Lytechinus pictus: one gene and its partner. The protein of the gene in region 1 interacts with the protein of each later gene in a pairwise test. Links are inferred from orthologs where the notes say so. Each region holds a gene or a part of one and is shown on either strand. Other genes may lie near its edges.

What was found.
Region 2: the proteins of homeobox protein PKNOX1-like (region 1) and pre-B-cell leukemia transcription factor 1-like interact in binary tests that used the Caenorhabditis elegans proteins (3 or more experiments, as listed by UniProt). The link is inferred for Lytechinus pictus from reciprocal best matches to the Caenorhabditis elegans genes unc-62 and ceh-20.

The regions. Positions count from the first base shown.
Region 1 is NC_087252.1:19,663,891-19,673,551, forward strand, and holds the start of homeobox protein PKNOX1-like, read right to left. Parts: upstream 4,587-9,661; 5' UTR 4,562-4,586; coding exon 4,392-4,561; intron 3,551-4,391; coding exon 3,379-3,550; intron 2,469-3,378; coding exon 2,329-2,468; intron 1,205-2,328; coding exon 1,120-1,204; intron 208-1,119; coding exon 130-207; intron 1-129. UniProt on the Caenorhabditis elegans protein: Acts redundantly with ceh-20 and ceh-40 to perform overlapping roles during embryogenesis.
Region 2 is NC_087259.1:8,800,386-8,811,031, reverse strand, and holds the start of pre-B-cell leukemia transcription factor 1-like, read right to left. Parts: upstream 4,891-10,646; 5' UTR 4,842-4,890; coding exon 4,641-4,841; intron 3,858-4,640; coding exon 3,664-3,857; intron 1,922-3,663; coding exon 1,786-1,921; intron 975-1,785; coding exon 654-974; intron 1-653. UniProt on the Caenorhabditis elegans protein: Transcription factor that binds to the 5'-TGATNNAT(G/T)(G/A)-3' PBC/Hox lineage enhancer region of sem-2 to promote cell fate specification in the postembryonic mesoderm (also known as the M lineage).

The DNA of each region.
Region 1 (9,661 bases):
TAACTTGGGGAATCTTGGGGAGATTTGAGATTTTGTTAGGGTAAAACTCCCTATTGCCCTCATTTTTTTCCTATGCTGATTACCACTCCATAAAAATAGAGCTAAGGTTTTATTCAAGAGGGTACTAACTTGATTTGCCGGTGAATGTGTTCCATGTTGTAATATAACAGGTTGGCTGTTTGGTGTTGAGGTGGGATGGTTCTGGATCTAAAAACAATATGAAGAAAAGGGAAAAAGGAAGAAAATAAAAGATGTATCGCAACAGAAAAAGGCAATTGGAAAAATGGTAATCCATATAATGGATGTAATAATCAATTAACATATAAGCTATGCACAGCGTCACTAATAATACTAATAATCATAATATACACATTTTTTTATACAGCAGTTTCAAACCGCTATAAGCAAAGAAAATAAGAATATACAAGATATCTAGGCAAAGAACAAGAAAGAATACGAAAGTGAAAACATCATTACAATTAATTGAACATAAGAATATAGAAATAATCAGAAAACATATAATTCAAATACAGAGTCGATACATGTATGTGTGTAAATTCAAATAGTCCTAACTTGTGATGTACTACTTAGAAACTATTGACAATTCATATAGGTCCTATACAATAATCTACTAACACAATAACTTCAAATCTTACAGGAATCATGAGACATATGTTAATTATTCAAATAAGAACACGTAGTAGTATGACAACAGCTCGCGCATTCATCACACTGTTTTAGGGATAAGGAATGTTTCTAAAGAACACATACCTGATTATGTCCGTGGGAGGTGGTTCTAGATCTAAGAGGGAGTCTTGATTCAACTCTCCCCTCCCCCTTTAATCCATTTAGAATAAGAAATGTCTCTTAAGAACACATACCTGATTATGTTCCGTGGGCGGTGGTTCTAGATCTAAGAGGGAGTCTGACTCCACTCTCCCCTCCCTCTTTTATCCATTAGAGATAAGAAATGTCTCTTAAGAACACATACCTGATTATGTTCCGTGGGCGGTGGTTCTAGATCTAAGAGGGAGTCTGACTCCACTCTCCCCTCCCAGTCCCCCCCCCCATCCCCCTTTAATCCATTAGGGATAAGAAATGTCTCTTAAGAACACATACCTGATTATGTTCCGTGGGCGGTGGTTCTAGATCTAAGAGATCTCCGTTGGATAAGTACTGACTATCAAATTGAGTGGCTTCTCCTCTAAAAACATCAAAAAGAAAAGAAATATTCAGCGGTTACAAGTATCTTTAACAAGATATTAAACAGGAATTACATGTACCTAGTCAAGCTCTGACTTAAGTGGGGTCGTGCATGCTAAATTCAAGTTGATTGAAATAAATACAGTGACATTAAAAGAGAAACACAAAGGAATTTCATGAAAATTATTCACAAATATGTAGAATTTTGTGAATAGTTATAGGCAAATAAGCCATTTGAAAATTTCAATCTTTTATTTATTTAATATAGTATAAAAGGTGGAACATGTTATTATTTCACTGATGTACATAGAGAATACATGTATTTCCAATTGAAACAAAACAAGTTACATCAATAAAGACCCATCAAAAGACTTTTGATTTTGGGACTAATGTTTGATTTGGAATTGAATGCACGTTTCTTGCAACATTGGGCTTTCAGGTATGGTTAATTACACACTAGGTAAATACATTGACCCTTATTCTGAACTCGGATCTAAGTTATGGTTTAATTATGGACAGCCATCTACAACAAATATCTGTAACAGTACAAGTATAAGTGGGCGTGTCGTGGTCTAGAGGGTCGTAGGTTCGAATCCTGGCCGTGACGTGTTTTCCTTCAGCAAGAAATTTATCCACACTGTGCTGCACTCAACCCAGGTGAGGTAAATGGGTACCAGCAGGAAATAATTCCTCAAAAAGCTGTGTGCACATTAATCGGTAGCCTAGCTTAGCTGGGTAATAATAATAGCAGGGCCTGCTGAGAGAACAGTTTTCTGAACTGAAGTGGCTACCCTTAGGAAATATACCGTTATTATTATACTTTTATCATAGTTCAATTTATCTGCTCACTTGACACTCAATTCATTCATCACTGTCAGGAAATAATTAAAAAAAATTGTTTTCTCCACCATTAAATCCACAAGAAAGAGCAGAGTAAACATTAGAAAACAAACAATTTACACAAACATTTGACATTTCAAGCTTTCCATAATTCAAACACAGCGTTAGACAGTAGTCTAACTTAAGCTGGTCTTCAAAATAAAGGCACCTGTAAACTTCTCATGAAGTCAGAGGCAAATGTCTCTTCTTTTGACAAAGTTAATCTATCCCTTTGTTAAAACTTACCGTTCATCTCTCAATAAATTCTCACTATGCATCTTGCTCTTCAAACAAGTTATATATCTATGACAGAAGTCTTTACAAAGTTCATTAACCTTCTCCAGCTCTAGCAGGTGTATTCTTAGTACTTGGATTGCTTTGATCATCTGGAAGATATAAGAAATAACATTGATACAAATTGTTAGCACTCACTGTGATCCTTTACTTCTATACTTGTAAGCATGCTGTAGAGTGCCACAATAAAGACAGAAGTTGGTTAGTTGAACTCAACAAACTTGCAAATTACTCTGAATCTGATAATTATAGAGTAATCTGCAAGATGCATTATCTCCAAACATATAGGAACACCCTCATAAAGAAAATAATAAATTGAATATTTAGTATTTTTCAATATCGCATAATTTTGACGTTGAAATATCGCCCAGCACTATATGAAAGTGGTTCAGCATCTCAATTTCATTCCTAATTAACCACACTTACATCATGAATACATCAACATCCGGAAAATGCTGAAAATGTTTTCTTTTGGCATAAAAATTCTCCTTTATCATTAATTACAATGGCCCGTATTCTGAAGTCGGGTTTAACTTAAACTCAGGTTTAAAGTTGTGGCTTAAGTATAGGAAGCCAAAAGTATCAACATTTTTATTAAGTTGTACGTATCTTATGTTTACTCTGCTCTTTCCTGCTTCATCGATGGTGAAAACAATCATCTATTTATACTTCCTAGATAATTATGAATGATTTAAGAGCCAAATGAGCTGAAATATGATATCTCTACTGTTAGTGATTTATGTAACAATTGGCCATCTATACTTAAACCACAATTTTAAACCTGAGTTTAACTTAAACCCGACTTCAGAATACGGGTCCATGGCTCATGTCCATGGGTGGATCTAGTCGGATTACACACAATACTTTGGATGGGCCCACCATTATACACAAACAATATGACCCACGATATGGTATTGTATCCCACCCGACAGGATCTACCACTGGTTCTGTACAACCCGGTTCAATAATGGCTGATTGATTCACTTCAACAACTATACTCACTAATGTATCAATTTCTGTGTCTTCAATAAAGAATGTGCTGCCCTCTCTCTTCAGCCTGTTGACAAACTCCTCGATGTCGACATCAAAGCTCGCCGACGTCGGTGGGTCAGGTGACTGGGTGGCCTGTTCACACTTCTCAAATAATAACGCCATGAGTGGGAACAGAGGGTGTCTAGAGATAAAAAAAATATAATGCCTTTGTTAAAGGTGGAGCGAGCTGTGTGTGCCTTAAAATAGGAGCGCCTTGAGCACCTACATGTAACAAGGTGATACATGTGCTTTATATATCCTACATTATTATCATCATTAGCATTATTATGATGCGAGTGAGGCAAAAATGAAAATGTGTTAAATCTGATAAATTTAACAATTTTACATAAAAAATTACGTTGATCAGGTGCCCATCAAAGTAAACTATCCGCACATTTTTTATCTTGCTTATATGAAACCTTCTCATTTCTCAAGCATGGAATGTGCTGAAAATTTCAAGATATAATCTTTGTCTGTAGCTTTCTGACATTCAATCAACAAATTAGTCAAGTAAGAACTTGAAAATCTCTAACACCTATTTTTTTAATAAACAATAAAAACATGAATGGTAGATGGTACTGGAATTGAATTCTTACAGCTGAAAAACCATCAATGACCTCTACATTTTTTAACAATTTGAATGTTAGAAGATACTCGAGCTACAGACTTCACATCAGAGCAATTCTGTAAAATAATCAACCTTTTTGTACATGCAACTCCCATTTACTTCATAAACTGACCAACTCATGATCATTTGACAGCATTGAAGACTGTCAAAAGAACCAGAAATCAGAGACAGAAAATTTCATGAATGTCTCACATACATGGGGTCAGACGTGCATATTTCATGGAATTGTCCATCAGTGACCCGTACTGGTTGAGACAGACTTTAAAGTGAAGTATACTCTGGTATTATATTAGTAATAATTATGGTTTTTTAAGCAATATTGGAGGCCATTAAGCTATATATAGAGAGTACTCACTGATATACTGCTCGCTTATCTTTCTCTAACTGGACCTGTAATTCTTCTGCTTCTTCGGGAGTAAGGTTCCCAACTGATTCCGTTCCTGCCTTGAGGATGCTAGCAGGTACTGTCCTAGTCCCGGCAGGACGATGCTTACTCTCCGACTCTTCGCCGCTAGACTGCTGCATCCTGATTGGTCAGGTTGCACTGGCCTAAAAATAATAAATGAAATAATAATTTTAATAAGATCAATTTGCATAGTGCAGCAACTATATTAGTATGCTTTAAGTACAAAATAAATTTCTCAAACTAAACATTTCGTCTAATGCCAATTCGTCCAATTGCCAACTCGTCAACTATCACTTTGTCTACCATCAGTTCGTCCACTCACCACATGGTCTACTTTCATTTAGTCTAATGCCATTCTGTCTAATAACCAGTTGGTCCAATAGCCATTTAGTCCAGATACCATTTGGTCTAATTAAACTAAAGTGTTAATTGTGCAAAATGAAGGAAAAGAAAATGGGTATTAGACCAACTGGTTATTAAACGAAATGGTAATAGACGAACTGGTGATTAGACAAAGTGATTATTGTCCACCAAATGGTTGTTAGACAAAATGTTGATGGACGGCATGGCATTAGACTAAATGAAGGTAGACCATGTGGTGAGTGGACAAGTTGGCAGTGGACGAATTGGCAATTTACCGATATTTTCACCAATTACCTACAGATATACATGACAAAATCAGTTGTCGATGTTTGAACTAATCATTCCAAGAGACACAGAAACAAATTGAGATCGATTATGATCTCATCGGATTTTCACAAGCCCGCACACAATAAATGCACTTTCTACACTCCATAGGAGGATTTAGTCAAGAGTTTTGAATAAGCATATTACCACTCTGGCTTATTACCACTTCTAAAGATGGACAGTCAACCTGCCAAAACGTTGAGTAACCTCTCTTACTTCAACCTGCTACTACTCAAATCATCGCTACTCAAGCCATATTCAGCTCATCTCATCTGGTTTACAGTCCTTTTTCAGGACTTCACTCACTTTCAAGAAAAGACTACCTCTAATTTCCTCTTTTCATCCTTTCTGGTCTTTCCATTTCAATCTTTCTGCCTGTATTTCCTTTCCCTTCTTCATATTACACATGGTGAACCGTAAACCTTCCCCCACGTACATATTACCATATTCCCTTACTGTGCATGTACTCAGACTAATCTAGAAAGTTTCTGTTTTCTACATGTCGTCACTAACAGATTCTGTAAGCTTGCACACACTGTATACATGTACACTTTCTCCGCACCCAGGGGAGCATACCCGGAGCATGCAAGCAAGAGTTTACACACTCTATTATTAGGCATGATTATAAATTATCCCCTGACTTTGAATACTAAAACTGTACTTGACTAGAAAAGGTTTGTTTTCAATTGATATTCCCCAAATATGCCTCAAGCCTTGAACCACACTCCACACTCTGTGACATTGACTGGGTGTATGGGTCATAAAAAGTGCACAAAGACGCCTTTAGTTGCTGGTATGTGCAAACAATAAACCAAACAATGGAAACGTCAATCATACACATATGATTCATCCCGACACTCCCAGTCTCTCTCTCTCTCTCTCTCATTTTCACTTTTCTATTAACGTTTGTAGTTGTATGTCTTTTTGCTTTCTGTTATTTACCTTGCGCCCATCAGTTCTGTATGTCTTTACAAATATTTTTCTCTCTCTTGAAGCAATCCTGATTAGTCACTTTTCCGTCTTTCTTTCATTCTTTCTTTCTCTATATCCTTCTCTCTCAATTTATTTCTTTCTTTTTCTCTTTCATTCTTTGTCTCCTTGAATAGATGACAACACTCTCAGTCTCTCTTTCTCTCTCATTTTCACTTTTCTATTATTTTTTTTTAGTTGCATGTCTTTTTGCTTTGTATTATTTACCTTCCGCCCATCAGTTCTACATGTCTTTACAAACATTTTTTCCTCTTGAAGCAATCCTGATTGGTCTCTTTTTCCGTCTTTCTTTCATTCTTTCTCTATATCCTTCTCTCTTAATTTATTTCTTTCTTTTTCTCTTTCATTCTTTGTATGTGTCTCCTTGAATAGATGACAACACTCTCAGTCTCTCTTTCTTTCTCATTTTCACTTTTCTATTATCGTTTGTAGTTGCATGTCTTTTCGCTTTCTGTTATTTACCGTCCATCCTAACTGTCTTTACAAATATAATGCTTTTGCATTTTTCTCTCAAAGCAATCCTGATTTGTCTCTTTCTCTGTCTTCATTCTTACTCTACCCTTCTTTCTCAATTTATTTCTTTTTCTCTTTCATTCTTTGTCTCCTTGAGTAGATGACAACACTCTCAGTCTCTCTTTCTCTCTCATTTTTACTTTTCTATTACCGTTTATAATTGTATGTCTTTTTTATTTCTATTTTTTACCTTCCATCCAACCTGTGTCTTTACAAATAACGCTTTTTCTTTTTCTCTCGAAGCGGTCCTGATTCGTCTCATTCTTCATTCTTTCTCCATCCCTCTCTCTCTCAATTTATTTCTTTCTCTTTCTCTTTCATTCTTTGTCTCCTTGGATAGATGACAACACTCTCAGCCTCTCTTTCTCTCTCATTTTTACTTTTCTATGATCGTGTCATCTCTTCGCTTTCTGTTATTTACTTTCCGCCCATCCATTTTACAATTATAATGCATTTGCATTTTTCTCTCGAAGCAATCTTGAGATTTCTCTGTCTTCATTCTTTCTCTATTCTTATTCTTCCCTCGATCTCAATTTATTTCTGTCTTTTTCTCTTACATTCTTTATATGTGTCTCCTTGAAGAGAAGACAACACTTTCGACCAGCCCCTCTCCCTCTCTCATTTTCACTTTTCTTTTATCGTTTGTAGCTGCATGTCTTTTTGCTATTTATTACCTTCCAAACATCCATCTTGTGTGTCTTTACAAATAACAATTTTTTTTCTCTCTTCAAAGCAATCCTGATTTGTCTCTTTCTGTCTTTTTTCATTCTTTCTCTAACAATACTCTATTCTTGTTTCTCAATTTATTTCTTCTCTTTCTCTTTCATTCTTTATATGTGTCTCCTTGAAGAGATGAGGGGATTGGCAGTAGGTTAGGAAATAATGGGCACTGGGTTAGGGAATTAGGAAGTCAAGCCCTCTTTGAAGTCATGCCCCTTCTATAATTTGAGAACTGCCCAATGAATAGTATATTGTACAGCAAAACCCGGGGGGGGGGGCACTCAGTATATAATGCATAGTGGGTATGTGCCGCGGAGGGGACCCCCATTTTTACACTCAAATTTCCGTTCCAAGGCATAGCATTTTTGTCTTATTGAGAAAAAGAACACAGAAGGCCGCTCCAAAGCATAGTATTTTCTTCTTATCGAGAAAAAAGAAGAAAGAAATCCGCTCCAAAGCTTCGCATATTTTCCGTTACGATGTTCCAGCGGTATTGATCTGCTACAATGAGCCGCAAAGCGCTGTCCGACCATCGCATCTGCGCTAGCGCACCCGTGCCGCCGGGCTAGCTGCATGCACGTATGCCCGTTCCATAGGGATGATGAATACACAATCACACGCAGGCGACCCGTTCCAAGGACCCCCGTTTTCACAAACATTTGTTGTTCCGAAGCCCGTTCCGAGGACCCTCCTTTTTACAATAAGCCCGCTCCAAGGCCCCCTTTTTTTTTCTCGCCCGCGGCACATATCCACTACTTTTTTGGTCGAGTTTTTCTGATGCCCTATCAAAGCTACATTATCTGTGTTGACAAATAAGAAAAGACAGTTCGGTCATAAAAAACAAAATTAATTATTAATTGATAAGTCTACATTTGACTTTACTTTACTGAGTGAATGTAATTTAAACTAGAAATGGGAAACCGATGTTCAAATGTGACATTGAGTTAAACATAGACAGCTCTCGTCTTCGCTGTAAATCATAAGTCATCAATGACTTGTGGGGACAGCTCATTTTCTCTCCGGCGATAATCATAAGATCACACCTCATATCAATTGGAGTAAAATATGACATTTAATGTCTTTTATAATCGTTTTGTAGTACTCAAAAGCAAAATGTGGAAACTGGAAATGGTCCCTTAATATAAAGGTCTATTTGGTCAAATCTATACTATTCTTATAAAAAAATCTACACTTTACTGTAGTGATGACAACTTCCAAAAATTCAATTTTTTTGTTCCTTTTTTCTCGCTTGTTTGCTTGCTTCCTTACTTGTCCAAGTACATGTACATGTATGTTCTTATTTTACCAATCTGCTTTTTTTCTATTTGGGTAGAGTTCATTCTCTTTAAGTTTGCAGGCTACCAGCATCTTCGGACCAAAATTGAGTAGGCCTACTGAAAAACAGTTCAAGTCCATGGCAGGTAATTTCTTAATGAAAGTAAAAATGGGCAATAATTGCTGACACACATCCCATTTCACATTTCCCTGCAATGGTAAGTTGATATCTCTCCTCAAAACAACTTGACCAATCTGGACTACCTGCAAATCCAATGGACTAGTGCCTCGATTTTCTTCTAAAAACGTTATTTTAATTTTTTGTACAATGCCATTTGCTATACGAACTTTACAGTAGTTGTTAAACAGTTACAAATAATTGTCCTGTAAACATACTGGCCCGTATTCTGAAGTCAGGTTTAACTTAGACCATGGTCTATCTCTGTGCTAAAGTTATGGGAAGCCAAAAGTGTCAACATTTTTATCAAGTTGTATGTTTCTGTTGTTTACTTTGCTCTTTCCTGATTCATCAATGGTGAAGACAATCATCTACTTATACTTCCTAGAAAATAATGAATGATTTGAGAGCCAAATGAGCTGAAATATGATATCTCTAGTACTGTTAGTGATTTATGTAACAATTGGCTATCCATACTTAAACCACAACTTTAAACCTGAGTTTAAGTAAAACCCGACTTCAGAATACGGGCCACTATATCTTTATTAATATTATGTTTATCTACATGTATCTCTAGATCGTGAGCTGAAGATTTATCGAAGGACAGTACCGGTAGTCAGTAGTACAAATTTTCATATGATAGGAGGTATGTATGATGGGGTGAATAGATTTTGAACATGATGCAGTGGAGACTACTAATTTTGTCTTTTTAATCTAATCACAACAAAATTCTACTTTACTTGAGCATATATAAGAACATACCCTTATTTTCAAATTAGCTTTTCATATAAAACTAAATGTAGGCCTACATAATTTGCCCATGGAGGTATCTTTATACAAGTACACTCCATGCTCT
Region 2 (10,646 bases), on another chromosome or scaffold:
ACAAGAATTCACTCACACCACTTAAAGCACACATCAAAGTTCTATCCATTTGTCTGTTTATGTTATACTATTTATCCTATTATTATGCTTCTTAAATGGTAAAGAATAATGAGTTTCTTCATCTTCTTTCAATTACACCTCTTTTATTACTAGAAAAAAAAAACACTTCCAATCCAAGATTCACACATCTCAAAAAAAATAACAATCCCCCTGCGACATACAAACAACCTCACACCGACATGCCCCCCCTCCCCCCACACACAGATACCACATATTCCATTTCCTGTCTCACACCCCTTATTATTTAGCTTCTTTAAGAATCTTGGCATCGCAATGGAGGCTTGAACAATAAGTTAGAAAATTACATATGATAAAGCACCAATATCCATGTCTGTGCATTACTTCTATGAAAATGATAGCTCTCTATTTTGTCTCACTTCTATACATTATTTTTTGATGAGTTTTTTAATTTCTACTAGTAATATTTGCCTATTGGTTATTAGTATCATGTTGCTTATTTTCTTTTATTAACTTTGGCATGAACTGATAAAAGTTTGATAATCAATTTCGAAAAGGGGATCTATCGATATCCACAGAACCCCACCCTTTTTTCAAACTAAGCTATCCTACCATCACCGCACACATCTCAATACCTGGGACTGAACGTTGGCACCCACTTGATTTGGCAGCTGGTAACTGTCTCCATTCGGCATCCCCATGTACTCTGTTCCGCTGCTTCCCATCATGCCCCCACCCGATGACATGCCGTAGCCACCGCCCCCTCCCGAGCCCGAGGTGGGCGTGCCCGGTGACTGACCCTCCTGGGAGCCGGCCGAGGCCTGCGATTGGCTGGACGGGTTGACACTGGAGACGGCCGAGGCGGCGTTCTTTGCAGCATAGAGGTTGGCTTCTTCTTGGGCCTTGCCGATGTTCTTCTTGTAGCGGATCCTCTTGTTACCAAACCAATTGGAAACCTGGAGATAAAACAAATGCAAATGATGACCTTAATTGTTTTAAAGCTCCTATGAATCATATAGTGAATGGGTAGGTTGGGAACTATAGGAAAATAAGGAGTACAGGCATATAAGCAGACCTACATGTAGTCATCTTTTGATCTTGTCCAGGATATTTTTCACACCATTAAGTTTGTGAGACCCTACATAATGCTGATTATTAGGCTAAATATTTTTCACTTGTGCAGAGTAACCTTGAACTTTGAATTTAAATAGATAATTTGGTTGAAAATGATTTCAAATGTTATGAAACAAATTGGTCATTCACACTTGCACACACAAAAAATCATACCAGAATATAAACCATTACAAACTTGACATTTATGTGTCCACAGCAGCACTAGGAAGTTACACACTTGATTGTGTGAACCGTTGTTCAAAGTCAGTCCCAAAATGAGAATTATACATGTATATCTGGGTGATACTGATTTGTAAACCCCCTCACCCCTACCCCCCCCCCCCGGCATACGCATACACACACAATATTATATTATTATATCGTCAGCTATGGATGGTTGAAACTCTTGCATACAACATGCCACCGAGGACGTTTGTGTGTATGACACCAGTGATGTTAAGGACGTATGCAAAGTTTGTCCCATTGTTCAGAGTATTTTACATTTTAGTGCCACCTACTTTAAATTTACAGCCCATTGAGAGACTACAAAAAAAGAGACCCGTCCATGTTTAACCAAACATCCCCGGTTAGATAGTGTTTTATCATACAAAAACACACAAAACCCACACATACAGAGATCCCCACAGTCCATACCTGTGCTACCGTGATGGCGCACTTCCTTGCTAGTTCTTCTTTCGCTTCTTCACTTGGGTAGGGGTTGCTAAGATGGGAGTAGAAGTATTCGTTGAGGATCTCTGTTGCTTGCTTGCTGAAGTTCCTTCGTTTTCTCCTATAAAGACAAATACAGGAAGAAATTACAATGAAAAGTCAAGATATAAACCAAACCAAATGCTGCTGTCACATCAACAGAACTATCTCCAAACTGACTGTATGATGATATGCCATTCAAATATTGCACAACGACTACTTTTTTGTATGCAAGCAAATAGGAGACTGAAAGTGAGAATTTGTACTGTTGCACACTTCCTGTCCAAAATGTTGCATGGTTTCACAGGTGATGTAACAATATAATTCATTTGATTGCACAAAGTAAATAAATGTAGGGGCACTACACGTAGAGCCAACTGCAGATATGATGTGCGCTTCAATCACTGATGACTACGCATGCTGCTGCTCAGGAATTCTGTTTTTGGCTTTAATAATTCTCTGGACGAAAACACTTCATTCTACTTACCAACTGCGTCTCCATCATCTGACCCCTTGGCCATTCTGATCATTGAAGAAATTAAAGGAGATCTTCTACACAATCTTACCTTGCTACTCTAAACCCAGAGACCGGTTCTTTCCTCCTTGGACCAAGTGAATCTTGTGACATACTGTCATCTTCAACACTGAATCTTTATGCCAGAGTCACAGCGGTGAAACCGACTTCAGACTACAAAAAATATATCTTGTTCTCACAGATCATTGATCAGTTTGAAGTCAGTTTCGTTGGTATGTGTCCAAGCCATGGGGTAGGATATCTTGAAGGTGGTCTTACCAGATGTCCAAGAACCATGGTTTTATTCATCGACGACGCCGACTTGTTCCGCCACCTCCAGAGTCCAGAGTGGACATTGATTGAGGGAAAATATCTTTTCCAAAGCTATACTGACTCTCAAATTCCCTACAGTTGATTTGGAGGGAGTCGAGGGGATTGGCACTGACGAATTAGAGAATTTGGGAGTCGGTCCCTCTACGCTAGCTTAGAGAAAGATAGGTTCCATCTATCAAGGTCCTCTCTGGACAACACCATCAGTGGCACTGGAACGTTCTGATCAGACTTAGCATAGGAGGACCAATCATTTTGTGTAAACAACTACTCCACCCCAAACTGTTTGTCAGAGCCAAACTTTCCTCCGCCACTGCTGCTCCAGACGTATCCAACACCAATCGACTTTCAGTAAAGTGACAACTGAATTTCTGAGACTGGGGAACCTTGGGGATGATTATTCCTTGCATCACCGGAACGTAAGGCTAGACAGCTTCACAACCTCTGGAAATATCCTTTAATCTTTTCCAACTGATGCACAATATTATAAAAGATGGTTAACCCAGAGGACATTAAAACTTCCATGCAGATTTTCAAAGCCATAAACCTAAATATCTAATATGCTTCAGGTTTTATCATTTTGTGTGAAAAAAGGGCCATTATCATCTCATTTCCTGACTGGACTAAGGGCATAAAGATTTATGCACGTCGATTACCAATCCTTTCGGTCACGAAGAAGGATGTTAACTCTTGAACACATTGTTCATTTTTATACTTGGGCTACAGTCCTTCCCTACTGGAAAGTACAGTGTCCCACAGTGGGTTCAGTGTGGAACACAATGTGAAAACACCTTCACACTGTTAAATTTGAGCATTTCAACAGTGTGAATCACATATTCGCATAGTCCACAATGTGAACACGCTGTGCACGGTCCCACTGTGTAACACTGCGTTCTTTCCAGCAAGGTTACGCCAGCCGCAGACCCTTTTGCCAATCATGCGGTGATCGGATGTTGTGAGAGGCATAACGATGATCTTACCTGGCATCCAGGAACCTTGAGCGTAGAATCATGACAGCTTCGCAGGTGCTCTGCTTCAGCTGGACCTGGATGGCGTTGAACTTGCGGTGGATGATGCTGACCATGCGCTCGATCTCCTTGGGGGCGATGGGTCGCGTCCTGCTCTGTTCTCGGAGCAGGTTCATGACGTGCGTTGTGAACTCATTACATGCCTGCTTGGGAGTCAGAAGAGGAGGGCATAAGTTGGTATGATAAATGTTGAATAAGGTTCTTGCGAGAACGGTCAAAGACCCACAATGTCGGATACGATTGAAATTTTGAATATTGCGCAAGATTCCGGTGAAGAGTCACGAGTTGCAACTCTAAAATTCATGCCCAGGTCCCACGTGGCACTCTTAATTGTTGGGAAATGAAGTTGTGTTCAATTTTTGGAGAATTTTTGCAATTCTCTCTGCAACAGGTACCTGACCTGTAAAATCACAAGTTTCACAACCAAACAGATAGTAAAATATGTACATATAGATATCCAAACTTTCAATACAATTTTTCCCATTACCTCTATTATTGTGTCATTGACAGTTACTTGTCTAAAAATCATTGTTTGCTGAGCTAAATCATGGAGTAACCTGCATTTCAACTTTTAATATCTTGTCCCCTTGCCTATTCCATCCTTATGATTTGCAATTGATTGATTCAATCAATAAATCAAATTCAATCAATCAATCAATCAATTAATCAATCTCGACTATGGCAAGCCAGTGATACCATCATCTGAAATGCATATGTTCGTTCAAATTATTTCTTCTGTAATTATGAGAAACATATGCGTGCATATTTTGTCCTCCAAGCATGCACTTTGTTTCCAATTGGACAGTTGCATATACATTGTCGATTATGATGCCAATGGCTCGCCATAAGTGGGAATGATTAGATCGATCATAACTTGGAGCAAGACTGGTCCCTGGAGAAGAGACTAGCTGCTCTTCATGATTTCTCACCTGCTCGTATTTTTCAAGTTCCGTATGGTAGATTTGCCTGATCTGAGCCAGCTTCGCCCTGTAATCTGAATGTTCGATAGCATTCTCCGGTTGGCCTAGTCCTCCGCCCGACGCTGCTGCTGCTGCTGCCGCCGCCGCCGATCCTCCGCCCTTCTCTGGCCCTGCCACGCCCTCTGCTATCAGCATATTGTCCAACCGCATCAACTGTGGATCGGGCGGCTCTTCTTCTTGAGCTCCGCGAATACTCAGAACTATAAAGAAGACAAAAAAATAAATATTATATTTAACAATATATTCAGCTGCAATTTTACAATATCAAATGTATGTATTCACAAGATGTTATTATCTAGACATAACACCATGCTGACCAATATTTTGAAGAAAGTTATATCATATTCGTGAGTTTGGCTTTTCTTGGTCAAGTGATGCCTATGGATACGAATATAAGTGATTATCAGTCTTTTACTCTTTTCAGTTCATACAAAAATCTATTTTTATGGCATATTACATGATCCAATCAATTTTTTTTTTCAAGAAAGACAGAACTAACAGGACATCTGGCAAAGTAAGTTTGAATAAGCTGGCCAAATTAACCAAACTTGACGAGAAAAAAATGGAAAGGAAAAAGAACGAGGGAAACTAAAGAGATGGTGAAGTAAAAATAAAAGATTAAATTATGCAGGGGCATGGTGGAAGAGCCTAGCCGCATCGTCGTAGTTTGGTGCAACATGATGGATCACGACTCATCAAGGCAAATCTTTATCCAATATATAATACATTCCCTCAAGAAGCAGAGCCAAGCAATAAAAGAAACTCGAACAAATTAGTGACAGGGAGAGAAAGGAGAAGAGGGATCCCGTAGAACATGAACGTGAGACATTGGCGTCACGTCTCGTCGGAGAATAAACCCGGCGTTTTGAAAGTTATCGTGAAAGCAGTTTCCTGGGCTTCGGGGGACTGATTGAAGAAAAAAAATATCATCCAGAAGTAACTGAATTTGAATATTTTAAGAAGTGAGCGAGAAGGGGGTAAGGGAGGCGATGGGAAGAGGTATGGAGAGATGTGGAGAGAGATGAAGAGAGAACAAGAGAGAATGAGAGAGAGAACGGGAGAAAATTGAAAGAGTCCACAAATGGTTGGTATAACGATTGAGGGTTTAATTGATAGTGGCAGGGGCTCGAAAAGTCCCTTTCCCTCCCTCCATAGAGTACGAGGGGTATCAGTAAGAGAAGGGTCAATGCCCTACTTTTCCATAAAAAAGGTATCCATGGAGAAAAAGGGGGGCGAGTTTAATTGAATCATCGCCACAAGGTATGGGTTTTACATCAAAACTAGTTGAGTTTCATCCATCATAAGAGCCCGGGAGAGCGTTGCCCATTCTCTTAACAGAATTCAACAATCGACAGTAGTAACATGCATCGGTTTCAGAAGCTGTATTGATGAGGAGGGGTCACGTAGGTAGTTAGATATGAGAAAAAGAAGCAGTCTGGAAAATTCAGTATGGAAATAATGACTTCACTCCTTACAAGAAATCACCTACATCTGCGTAATTTCTCTCATTTTCTCTATCTTTTTTTCTCTGCCTCTCCTCTCTTTATTTCTTTCCCAGTCCCCCATTCTTTCTCCCTGTCTCTATTATTTCCCCTTAAGTTTACCCACACTTCTTCCTTATTTTCACTCTCCTTCTCTTTGTCACACTCCCGTTGCTCTATTTTTTAACTAATTCCTTCTCTCCGCCTCATTTGTAGTGTACATCCTCTGAAATATATTCAAAACCTTCATGGACGAAAAAAATAGTAATACCCTTAAAAAACTCGTAGAGAGAGTGGAATTAGAAAGCAAACAGCAAATTTCATTAATATGACTCCAAACCCGTCTTCTTAACTGGCGAAGCTGACACATATACATCTCGACGAAGCCTGCTTAATCAAGTGTAGCCTTAAGGGTCATCAATGCAGCCATCACAAATCTGGAGAAGATCCATCTCGCGCAGGGGGTAAAATTCAACTAAATCGACAGAAAAAATGAACAGCAATCAAGTAAAACCCCCTAAGAATATCAAGAGGGATTTGTGACTTGTCAAAAATCATCTCCAAATTGTCTGATGGGATGACTTCATTTTTTAAAAAACTTTCTGTTTAAAGAAAATTTTGATATTCATAAGGAGATTATAGTTGTGACATGTGAAGGTCTAGTTAGGTGGGGAAAATGACAGATAACTATGAAATATTTTATATTAGTTTATCAAGATATACTCTATGGTATGCTATAAATTTGTATATGCGTACCCTTATGATGCTTACAGGCGATATAAGTATCTATTTCCTCGTTTTTAGCTACCAACATAAAAACAAGAAGTAAAAAAAAACCACAAGAGCCTCACTTCAAATGCAACATTAAAACCACTATCAATTAATCATGTAGAATTTACTTCTGTATTCATGACAATATAGGTAGCTGGCTATCTGCCATATATGCATTTTAGAGAGATTTATTTTTCAAAATCCACTCTTTTCAAAAGCATTTGAAATGACCTAAAAAAACATTTGAAGAGTGTAAGAAAAAAACACGTTTTATTTAATACTCGAACAGTTTATTCAAAAGTTGGAGCTGTACAACTATAAAGCAAAGTAACTTTTGCTTTAATTTGTAGCTGTGTTAGAAGCAGCTTTCCATAGTGTACTCTTTGATTTTTATATTGATGTAATTTGAATGATTTTAATTTAGTCGAGTAACCACGAACTTGACAATTCAGTGCTTTGTAAGTAACAAAATCTAATGTGCCATTATAGGCTTTAACTACTGTCAAACTATGAGACTTTAATATTAATGCCAATAGTAAATTCATATGTTTAATCTCATTTCTGACAAAACATCATTTTGAATACAAAATCATTCTTACATATGATTGAGGAAGGAGTGAATGTCAGGATCCACACATCTGCACTTTGCTGGTGTGTTTGTGGGTATCACGCTACATCATACTTAGGCATTATTAAAGTCATAGCCCCCTCTTGTGATAGGAGAGGGATAACCCAAATAAGTTCAAATGAAACAACAGTATGGGGAGTATTTGCATGAGAAATAGAGATGAGGATGAAAATGATGACAAAGATTATTGATGGCGATTAAGGGTGATGGTGATGATGATGATTGTGGTGGTAGTGATGGTGGTGATGACAATGATAGTGATAATGATGATGGTGGTAATGGTGGTGGTGATGATGATGGTGATGACGATGGTGATGACGATGATGATGACGATGGTGGTGGTGATAATGATGATGGTGGTAGTGGTGGTGATAATGATAGTGTTAATGAGTATTTATTATTACTATTGATAGAAAATGAATATCATTCTTACATATGTAATACAAAATATGGAACATTACAACAGCACCAAAAATAAATGGGGAAGAAAAAGCAGGAAGATATCATCCAATATGTCGGAGATGGAAGATACAAAATAAAGTACTTTGATGAGAACTAGAGTAAAACTAAGAGAAAATAAAGACCACATAAATTAAGTACAAAAAAAATAGTCAATTACCGGAGGAAACATAAGACAAGAGAAGAGGAGAAGACGAGGAAGGAGCGTTGGGATTCGTCTATATACGCTCCAATAACCCCGAGATGAAGCAAGGAGCTAATGAGAGAGGAATACACGCAGCTGACGAGGGCTATCCTCCAACACCCAAAACCCTGGATGCCTCCAAACCCAACACAGCCAATCAGGCAGCACGAAGCCACCAAGAACCCTGAAGATCTGTAATAACTAATCACCATCTTTTTACAGTTTCACTCGTACAAACCTGCTGTAATTTTATAAATACTATTTTTAATAAGTCAGGGCCTACACATTTTTAGTTAAAGGTATTGTTTAACTTTGTGAGCAGCCGATTTAAAAAAATTCTCAAACCAAGATGAAACATGTGTACAAGTGCATGTATTAGAACTAATAAACCCTGAAAACAACCATTATTGAGAATGAAAAGCTAAAACTACAAGGCAAACCCCGATTTTGTAAATAGGCGTCTTATAGACGCCTAAATAGTACACATAAGTGTATGGGATGAAATTAAGATGGTGTTTTCGGTCACTTTATATTTCAATTTTTGAAGCACTAAATAATTATTTTCGAACGCAATTTTTTCTGGGCTTCATTTTTTGTAACATATCACAGACACAGGTGACAAGTGTGACCTTCTAGCTCAGATTTTTTAAAAGTCAAACCAATGTTAACCAATCACTTTAATTCTTCAAAATGTAATACAGCCAAAGTGATTGATAAAGACAACCCAAGAGAGTCGGTCTTTACAGACAACAAAGAAAGTGAAACAAGTGATCTTTATAAACAGGTGACTTTTTTTACTATGTTTTAGAATATGTTCAAGGGAAACCAATCAGAAAATTCAGTCTTTATGGCCAGTTCGTACTTCTATGTAAGGTTGATTGGGTCTGAAATCATTTTCAAAATCTTTTGACCATGCATGAATATTGAAAATGAAACATTCAAATATAGAAGAACCCCCGTCAACTGTGGCTTTTCAGAAATAATTCATTGATTGTAATGGTATATCCCCACAATGCATTGAGATTGTCCGATAAAGATATGTTTTCACACCCCCTGAATCACAAAAAAATATCTAGTATTTTCTCATAAGGTATTGCACCCAGATGATCAGAAAACAGCTTATCTGGTATTTGCAGGTGTGAGAGTAAAGTGCTTGTACTATTCGGAATAGAAAACACCTGCAAGTTATAAGGTACTTTTCAAATTTATCTGAATTGTTTAGCGATTTTGCGATCATGGCAATGTGAAGGAAAATTGCCATAACTTTCAATGTCAGGCCAGAACAATGCACATTATTATTGTATGGAGTACAAGTTGCATTTCTTGCTTAACTACAGGAGCTTTCTCTGGTTCAGGTTGGTGTTAAATGAACAAAATTAATTGTGAGATATTTTGAGACCTGAGCAAGTTCTTTATATATATATATATATATATATATATTTATATATATATGCATACATCCTATGTAAGGGCGAAGTCTATGAATGGGTTTATTCCGTCATAATACACATTTAGACGTTAATTCGAAGGTAGAGGGCGTTAAGGCGCATTGCTAACATTGAAAGACAAAAAAATTCGCCTTAACTGCAGATGTAGATATATATATATATATATATATATATATATATATCTAAGTTTTTATTAAAATACATCATCAAAAATTACAATATTTACAAAGGATTTACAAGATTAAAACAAGAAACATACAAGAAATAAAAAGGCAGATTACAAATAAACTAGATAAAGCTTTCAAGGGTGCGAGACCTGAGCAATTTCAAGTAATCGAGGGGCATTTTCAGATCTAGTAGGGTAGGAAGCATTCTAACAGCAGAGTAATTGTAGATTTGAATGAGAGACCTCAGGTCCGTGTCAATCATCATTCCTGCCCTCAAACATGGGATTGCTAAATCCTTTGATGACCTTGGCAAACCCAAATCTCTCCCCCAATGACCTCCTTGGTATTCCAAACAATGACATGAATTACCCCTCCCCCACAATCATATACACTGTCTATAGAGCACCCATTCGCTTCTCCTCCCCATCCCCCTATTTTCTGTCATTTTGGTTTGAAGTATGAACTACTAAAGTTTTCTGCAAATGTAACTCTTATACCCCCTTATTTTCAATCCTGCATAGTCATAAACATACTATATTGTCAACTCCAAAACTCAGACTCTTGGTAATTAGGGTCCTTTGGAGGAAGTGCAAACTTGTAATTTAGTTGGTATAACTCCTGTGACATACTATTTCATATCCATGTTTTATACCTAATATAAGGAAAGTTGAAGAAACATTCAGGTTGACCTTCTTTCAATCCCAAAGGCCCCCTTTCACCTGCCCCATCCACACCCTTAACCCTATCCATACAATACCTGAATATCACCCCTTCAATCATTTCATTCAAAGCCATTTCATTATGTCACTTCACAAAT